Linked DNA regions of Xenopus tropicalis. Each later gene encodes a partner of the first gene's protein in a complex. Links are inferred from orthologs where the notes say so. Each region holds a gene or a part of one and is shown on either strand. Other genes may lie near its edges. The genes, in order: prkaa1 and prkag1.

Region 1 (4,510 bases):
TATATCAGTAGATTTATATATATATATATATACACCAATGTATATATGTATTTACTTACCCTATTTTGATTTTCAGTTCCTTTCCTGTCTAGATATGATTTTGTGGGGATAACTTACTGTGACAAATAACCACAGGCAACATACACTCTGGTAAATACAGTGAACCCCATAAATCACAAATCATCAGTTTGTTGAGCTCTTTAGGCCTTTTGATGATTTTAAACTAAGGAGTTTCATTTAATCAAAACTGAGTTTACAAGGGGCCCTCTTTCAAAGCAAACATAGCACAATTTTTGGAGGTTCCCATTAGCAACATCAATTATGCCATTTGTTTTAGAGGAATAACAGGAATTCAAAACATGCTGTACTTTTTAGGAGTCCCTGTTACTCCACAAATTGCAAAAAGGAATAAAAACAAAGGATCGTAACAGTCAGTGTGGGTGCTGCCCTGCATGTTTTAATAACACAGCCCCCCTCATATTGGGATTCAGTTACCAGAAGGTTGACATCTTGGGGGAACAAGGCAGTCAGAATTGCTATAGCTATCCCAGTGAAGTTCAGGATGGCGGGGTAGGAATACTTTTTTTTCCATCACACAGTACTATAGACCCCCAGATCAAGGTATGCTCTGGTTAGGAGTCCACTCAATGGTTTTAGGAACCCCTCAGTCTAGGATCGCCATTACAAATCATCCAGCCCCATTCAGCAATGCCCTGCCAACTAAGTAACAAGGGCCCTAATGACAAATAAATAAAAAATGCTGCCCTATATAGCACATTTGACCACGCCCCCATTCTGCCCAGACCACGCCCAATACAGACAAAAAAGTCCTGTGCCCAGCCCAGCTCCACCTATTGCCTGCATGCTCATTAGGGTGAAGCCACATGTTGCTAATTAGTAGCACCTACTTGTCATGGCTACTAAATGCCAGAAATGACACTGCCATAGACAATACTGAGAACTGCCTCCACTAAAACGTACATAGCAACAATTATCAGTAAATGATCAGCATTGTCTATTTTAGTAGCTGCTACTAGTAGCTCAGTGTCTTCACCCTTACACTACTATGCCCAGGAACCGCCCCAACCCATCTGCTGGCCCAAGTTCTAGTTACGTTCCCAGCCACATGACCCTGATAGGAATTCCACCTGCCTGGCATGATGGCAGCCCTACCTTGATCACTCCTATAATATAGCACCAAGCACGTCACTGTACCCCATTGGCGACATTACATCATATATTTCTATCTTTCCACGCACAGATCTAAGCGTATAGTTTTCCCAAGCCATTTTATTAACATTGCAGCCCAATAACCCGGCCGCTGTCACCCTATAGCCCGCCATGTTCTTAGCCAATCCGCTAGCGGCGTCCGGTATTCGCCACACCCCCTTGCAACACCAACCAATAACCCCGACGCACTACGTCTCCGCCTCAGACAAGTGACGTGTGCGTGCTCGTACGTCGCCGTGCCCTGTTGCTAAGATACGGCCACCTTTTTCCCGTTCCCGCTAGGAGGCGATTTCTGTGCCCGCGCTGGCTTGTTTGTCGGGAACGCGCGGCGATGCGCAGGCTCAGTTCGCTCATGAAGATGGCGGCGGATAAACAGAAGCATCATGACGGGAGGGTGAAGATCGGTCACTATATACTGGGCGACACGCTCGGGGTGGGCACGTTTGGCAAAGTGAAAGGTATGGAGGGAGATAGAGAGGGGGGGCTTGTGGAAAGAGGATCTTGAGTGTGTGGGGAAATGACTGGGAAATGGAGGGATAGGCAAGGGGAGCAGCCCTGAATGCAGGGCACATAGGGTAAATACCTTGAACTGGGCGGGACTGCTTCCCTTTCCCCCCACGGCATGGTGGTACCTTCCTGTTATCCTTATTGCCTCGTCTGTAGGCTTTTGGGCTGTTCCAATCCCTTTCCACTTCAGGGGGTGGGAAACTTGTAACGGAGCAGTCTAGACATTGGCAGGGAGGCTTTTGTGACGTTCCTTAACATATTTTTTTAAATTTGTTTTTTTTCCCCCAAATTATTCCCGTTCTTATTTTGCCATTCTTTAAAGGGTTAACTTTGTTATTTTGCATAATAAAAGAAAACGAAATTCCAAGCAACTTTCTAATATTTCTTAATTAAACATTAGTCTTAGTTCGTTTTAAATGTCATTTCTATAGACCATAGTGTTCTGACTTTGCAGTGCTGGTTCTGACTCCAGAAATTGTTTTCCCAGCTGCCTGCTCTTACCCGACACATTGTTACAAACAGAGCACAGGAAAAGGGATGAGGAAAAAAACAAAAGACAATTTGTTACCTGCCTTCAGGCAGATTTAACCCTTTCATTTCTGTGCTGCCCGTGGCTCCGTAATTGTGTTGTCACTTTATGAAGCTTTCTAGCTGTAATCCAGTGTGTTCAACACGCGTAACAGGGCGCTGCAGTGGGTTAATTGTAGCACGGTAAAGCTTTTTTTTTTAAAGTGATATCAACACTGTTCTGTAAAAGTATCACTTTAACTGGTGCCAGATGCATCACTGAGTGCATATAATGAGTTGCATGTAAATCATAGGAAAATATATATATTTTTTTTTTTTGCTGCTTCTAATCCGGTTAATTCCATGGTGGCGGGGCAGACTGGTGAGCACAGAAGGGACAGCTGCTGTCTCCTGAGCTTGCAGCACTAGAAAGCACTTGCACAGCTGATATCCCCCAGGTATAATGGCTATGTCTAAGGGTGAAGACACACAGAGCTACTTAGTAGCAGCTACTAAACGCCAGAAAATACCCTGCCATAGACAATACTGAGAATTGCCTCTTGTAAAACACAATAGAGACAGTTATCAGTAAATGATCAGCATTGTCAATTTTTGTAGCCACGACAAGTAGCTGCTACTAGTAGCTCTGTGTGTCTTCACCCTAAAGGTGGCCATACACAGGCCGATTCTAGCTGTTGATATCGGTCGCTTAGACCAACTCGGCAGCTTATCGGACCATGTATGGGCACTACCGACGGGCCTGCCCGACCGATATCTGGCCTGAAATCAGTCAGATATCGATCGGACAGGTTAAAAAATTTCATCGGATCGGGAACCGCATTGGCTCGTTGATGCGGTCCCCTAACCCACTTTACTTACACCCATCTTCCTAATTCAATTGTCTGGCCCCAGGGCCCAACTACTGAATAAGCCTGAATTAGCCCAATATCGCCCTGCGAGCAGATCTCAGTGTGTATGGCCACCTTAAAGGAACAGTAACACCAAAAAATGAAAATATATCAAAGAAATTAAACTATAGTGTACTGTTGCCCTGCACTGGTAAAAGTTGTTTGTTTGTTTCAGAAACACTACTACAATTTATAGAAATACCCTGGTGTGTAGCCATGGGGGCGGCCATTCAAAAGGAGAAAAGGCACAGCTTGTATAGCAGATAACAACAGATAAACTCTGTAGAATACAATGTGTCTTATCTGTTATCTGCTAGGTAACCTGTGCCTTTTCTTCTTTTCCCAGCTTGAATGGCTGCCCCCGTGGCTACACAGCAGCTTATTTATATAAACTATAGTAGTGTTCCTGAAGCAAACACCCCAGTTGTACCAGTGCAGGGCCACAGTAAATTATATTTGAATTACTTTAAAACACTTTCATTTTGTGGTGTTACTGTTCCTTTAAGGGCAGTAAGTTAATTAATAAAATGACCCACTCTTTCAAGCTTTATTGTTCCTTGGCCTGATTTGCCCTTTACAGTCTTGCTCGACTCTTCTTGTGTTGGTAATAAAAACACTGCAGCCCTCCCTGGATCAATACCCATTCACCTTTGGCACGTATAATGCAGTTTAATCCAGATGGAGGTAAATGGGTAGCACTCAGGAGTCAGCCTTTTGCTTTATATTCTCAGCATAATACACAAGAGCCATGGATATTCTGTAAATTATATGCTTATAATTGGTGCTTAGTGATATTGATTTTAATAGATGCTCAGTGATGTGAATTCTGTCACGTGACTTACTGGAACTTGTTTTGTTATAAATAATGCACCCCCTGTATTTGTCACTGAGGAGATTAATGATAATATAGAGGCAAGAGGCTATGTCAGTAACTATAATATCCTTATATTTTATGGTAGGGGCTGCATTATTCACTATAAAATTGGTGTTAGTGTCACATGATTCACTGAAATAAGGTACTATATCAGAAATATCTGTGTGCTTAATCCTTGCACGTTTCTTCCATTAGGTATTGAACCGAGGCAGGGCTTGATCTAAGAGAATGCCATAAATTTTTATTATACTATGATATGTGCAGCAGTCTTATTGCTTAAAATAGAAATGTCAGTATAAATGGATCGTCCATTTCATCCCACACTTTTAATGGGCCTTAAAGGGAAAGTAGAGCCAAAAAATAGCGTTTTGCCCATTGCAAGAAAATGTAATTCTAAGCCGCTTTCCAATATCCATTACTGCTGCGTGTATATGTATTTGCATTGGCAGTTCTGATTAGAGTTACCATCAGTAACCATGGGGCT
Region 2 (3,820 bases), on another chromosome or scaffold:
GGATTGCTTGCACTTGCATCTTAATTGATTCAATGGTGGTGTTGAACTAGAACTCACTACACTGTCAAATTTTTTTGGGGGTACATAGATTTTCTGTTTGTGAATATAAGAAATAATGAGAGCTAAGCAGGAAGAGGGAACAGGGCTTCACGCTGTAACAGGAAGTAGAGGAAAGGAGCTGGAGATTTCAATTTATAAGTCAGAAACCAGATCAGACGGCATGCAGGATGTTGTTGTTTAGAGTAATTTTAAAGATTTTTTTTTTTTTTTTTTTTTAAAAAAAAGGTTATTTCTATACACAAAATGTCTCAATGTGCTTCATATATTTATTATAATGGATATGTGCAGAGAGTCTCTTGTCTTTGCGCACAACCTTCCCTTTTTGCTATAATTTATACAGGAGCAGTGACCAGTGCCACATTGAAATTCCCTTTACCCCCAGCTACAGTCAGGTGATCCCAGTGATGGCCAATAAAAGGGCAACCATTTAGAAATTTTAACCTTAAAAGCAAAGCAAGTCTCTGTGAAAAACGTACAATGAAGCAGTAGAATTCTTAATGAATCAGATGAAATTGAGTGTAGGACTGGCCAGACCGGGGATGGCTTTGAATATATTACAATATATGGAAAAACAATCCCTGTTTTGTTTAAAGGGAAGGGCATGTATTAGTAGCTTAATGCAAAAAATGCCTCAATGTCCTTAATATACTGATAATTTGATATTATTTTTAGATATTTATATACACACACGCACACACTTGCTTTTCACATATTAAACACAAAAGCAATAGCTTAAGTGGTACTCACAATGACATCAAACTTGGAATATATATCAACAACTCGTCCTGTAAGGGAAGAAAAAAGTGACTAAATTCCTGGCCAATACAGTATGGCAAGAGGGCAAGTGCTTGAATATAAGAACACTACTTAAAGATATGTGTTAAAATGTGGCTATGAATAGCAGATTCCTAAAATCCAAGAGACTTTGGGGATTGTTTAGTAAAATGAGTGCTACAACATCTGACTAGTTACTATAGGTAATGGCATTGTAGTACTTTATTGGGGTTTTAGCAAATCAGCCCCTATAGTAGAGTTTGACTCATGAACATGGGTTTGGGTTTGGCGAACCCCTGAACCCACTCTGAAGGATTTGTGCGAATCCCGAACCGAATCCAATCCTCATTAGCATATGGTTATTAATGCTAATTAGCATATACTAATTTATGCTAATTAGCATTCAGATTCGGGTCGGCCGGGACCGCAGATTCGGGCAAAACCGAATCCTTAAAAAAAAAAAAAAGCCTGGATTTGGCCGAATCTCGAACCGAATGCAGAATTCGGTGCATCCCTAGAAAAATTTGACGGGGTGGCTGAAAAACAAACATAGGAAGTTGCCAGGGGACTGGAAGGGACAAGAATATATTAGATGACACTCACTTGTGTGCTATGTCTTATACAGTGTCACCTGTTAAAGGAACAGTAACACCAAAAAATTCAAGTGTATGAAAGAAATTCCAATATAATGTACTGTTGCCCTGCATTGGTTCAACTGGTGAGTTTGCCTCAGAAACACTACTATGGTTTATATAAAGAATGCAGCTGTGTAGCCATGGGGGCAGCCATTCAAAGGAGAAAAGGCACAGGCACTTAGCAGATAACAGATAAAACACTATTGTATTCTACAGAGCTCATCCGTTATCTGCTATGTAACCTGTGCCTTTTCTCCTTTTTTCCAGCTTGAATGGCTGCCCCCGGGGCTACACAGCAGCTTGTTTATATAAACTATAGTAGTGTTACTGTAGCAAACACACAACTTTTACCAGTGCAGGGCAACAGTATATTATATTTCATTTACTTTAAAACTCTTTCATTTTTTGGTGTTACTGTTCCTTTAATGAGATAGTATACCCCCCCTCATATATCTTTGCAAAAAAAATGAGAACTATAAATAGGAGATTTTTCTTATTCTTATTTTAACAAAGAAGCATTAATGAAAAATTGGTCTGTTTTTCACTGAACTCACTCCCCCCTAGAGTCATTTGTTCAAAGTAAGATAAGGAGCCCTGAATAAACAAACACCTCCCTTCCCTAAGCAGCTCATTAAAAGGCTTTTCTGTGGACTGATAATTCATTTTACCAGTTTCTGATCTGCTTGGCAAAACCAGGAAACGGTTTATTTGTTAGAGAAATTTAGAAAGTGATGTTTCTTAATTATAAAAAGGCAAACAGTATTTTTAAGTACAAGCCCTATACTGTATATATTGAGCTTTTGTTAAATAAGGACGTATACCTCCCCTAAGCAATTTAACAGAGTTACAAATTAGGAAGCAAGGAGAGTTACGGTAAGGCCCCACAAGGCAGACTGTCAGCCGGCATATAAGCACAGACTGATAATTTGCCCATACACTTAAAAACGTTTTCAAATAGTGACTGCACACGGAAAAACTGAATCTGCCCAGGTGCAGGCACACGCAGTCGATATCCGCCAATTAATGCGAGACTTGGCGTATGTAGGCAGATATTGGCTGAGTGTGCCTGCACCCAGGTGGATTCATTGCTTCTGTGTTCAGGCACAATAATAAGATTTTTCAAGCGTAAGGGCATATGTGTCAGTGTGTGCTTATATGCAAGCTGACAATCCGTGGGGCCTTATCCTTACAATGATTTAATTAAGCAGAGTATATATGACATGCTACAGCATTTTTCCAGTTTTCTAAGTGCCCTGGGAGACAGGCATTTTCCTTTACACCTTATATTGTTCAATATCAATTACTTCTTTATTGCACCTATAGAGGAAGTGGATAATGCTAAATTCAGAACATTTGCTGGAACATTGTTGTACCTCATGTTAGCTACAAAGCAACAGGAGGAAATGACAGACTGTAACTTGTCTCTGAAATCCTTCACTAACCTGAGTCATCCACAACTGGTAAAGCAGACACCCGCCGTTGCACAAAGATGCCCAAAGCAACATATACAGGAGTGTCCGGGCGAACAAGGGCAATATTTTCATAAGTGCCAATGTGCAGATCTTTTAGGGATTTAGTCACAAAAGCAGGTTTCTCAACTTCAGACATCTTCTCATTGAAAATATAAAATAAGAAATTCTGATGAAATGAGGTCTGTGTGTAGAAGCCAAAGGAATAATACAAATAGAGCAAGACTTACAAAAAGCTTAAGGAATTTCAGGATGCGTTTGTGTGTCAGGATGTACAGAGTATTCCCTGAGTCAGGAGAGATTACAGGAAGACGGTGTATACGGTTCTTTATCAGTGATGAGACAGCATCAAACAGACTAAGGACAAAAGGAAGAAAAAGATAGACTTTTCTCAGTGCATTTACAATATTCCCTGCAATAGTCTTATGGCACATGGTAATTTAATAGTTAATATGAAACATTGCAATTAGGCTCTCAGATCACGGACCATCCCAGCAACAGTGTCTTGGCTCCTACCTGGCACTGGGTGAAATGCTAACCAAAGGCTTAAAGGAATCCTGCAAGTAGAGCTCTAGGGGAAACAAAAAAAAAAATCCAGATCAGAACATTAACAAAACAAAAGCCCTTGCAGACTGATCACTTCACAATGCAAATATATGATTGAACAACTCATTTGCAAGCCTAAAATGAACAGCCACTTGCTGTTATCTAATATGTTGGCTGTTATAGTGGGTCCTCTTGGTAAATGCAGGAATAAATACAGTACCTTCTTCATGAAGCCTAGCAGTACAACATGCCAGATATGTAAAATAAGTGAAAAGTGGAGGCCTATCCTGCATTCACTAAAAATTGTATTGCTCATGTGTATGCGCCTGTATCCAG

The links.
Region 2: the proteins of prkaa1 (region 1) and prkag1 are in contact, whole or in part, in a crystal structure (PDB 6C9H), measured with the Homo sapiens proteins. The link is inferred for Xenopus tropicalis from reciprocal best matches to the Homo sapiens genes PRKAA1 and PRKAG1. Residues at the interface, in NP_006242.5 of Homo sapiens: Ser295, Ser296, Thr297, Met298, Ile299, Asp301, Glu302, Lys305, Arg342, Glu347, Ala348, Phe351, Tyr352, Leu353, Arg369, His371, Pro372, Glu373, Pro376, Phe377, Asn449, Val451, Thr452, Thr536, Pro537, Arg538, Gly540, Ser541, His542, Thr543; in NP_002724.1 of Homo sapiens: His36, Asp40, Leu41, Ile42, Pro43, Thr44, Ser45, Val50, Leu64, Val65, Gly68, Val69, Arg70, Trp75, Ser77, Lys78, Lys79, Gln80, Phe82, Pro158, Glu159, Ser160, Gly161, Asn162, Lys170, Arg171, Lys174, Phe175, Leu178, Phe179.

What each region holds. Positions count from the first base shown.
Region 1 is NC_030677.2:195,902,781-195,907,290, forward strand, and holds the start of prkaa1 (5'-AMP-activated protein kinase catalytic subunit alpha-1), read left to right. Parts: upstream 1-1,564; 5' UTR 1,565-1,588; coding exon 1,589-1,688; intron 1,689-4,510. UniProt on the Homo sapiens protein: Catalytic subunit of AMP-activated protein kinase (AMPK), an energy sensor protein kinase that plays a key role in regulating cellular energy metabolism.
Region 2 is NC_030678.2:136,344,056-136,347,875, forward strand, and holds part of prkag1 (5'-AMP-activated protein kinase subunit gamma-1), read right to left. Parts: intron 3,510-3,820; coding exon 3,455-3,509; intron 3,296-3,454; coding exon 3,169-3,295; intron 3,078-3,168; coding exon 2,912-3,077; intron 846-2,911; coding exon 808-845; intron 1-807. UniProt on the Homo sapiens protein: AMP/ATP-binding subunit of AMP-activated protein kinase (AMPK), an energy sensor protein kinase that plays a key role in regulating cellular energy metabolism.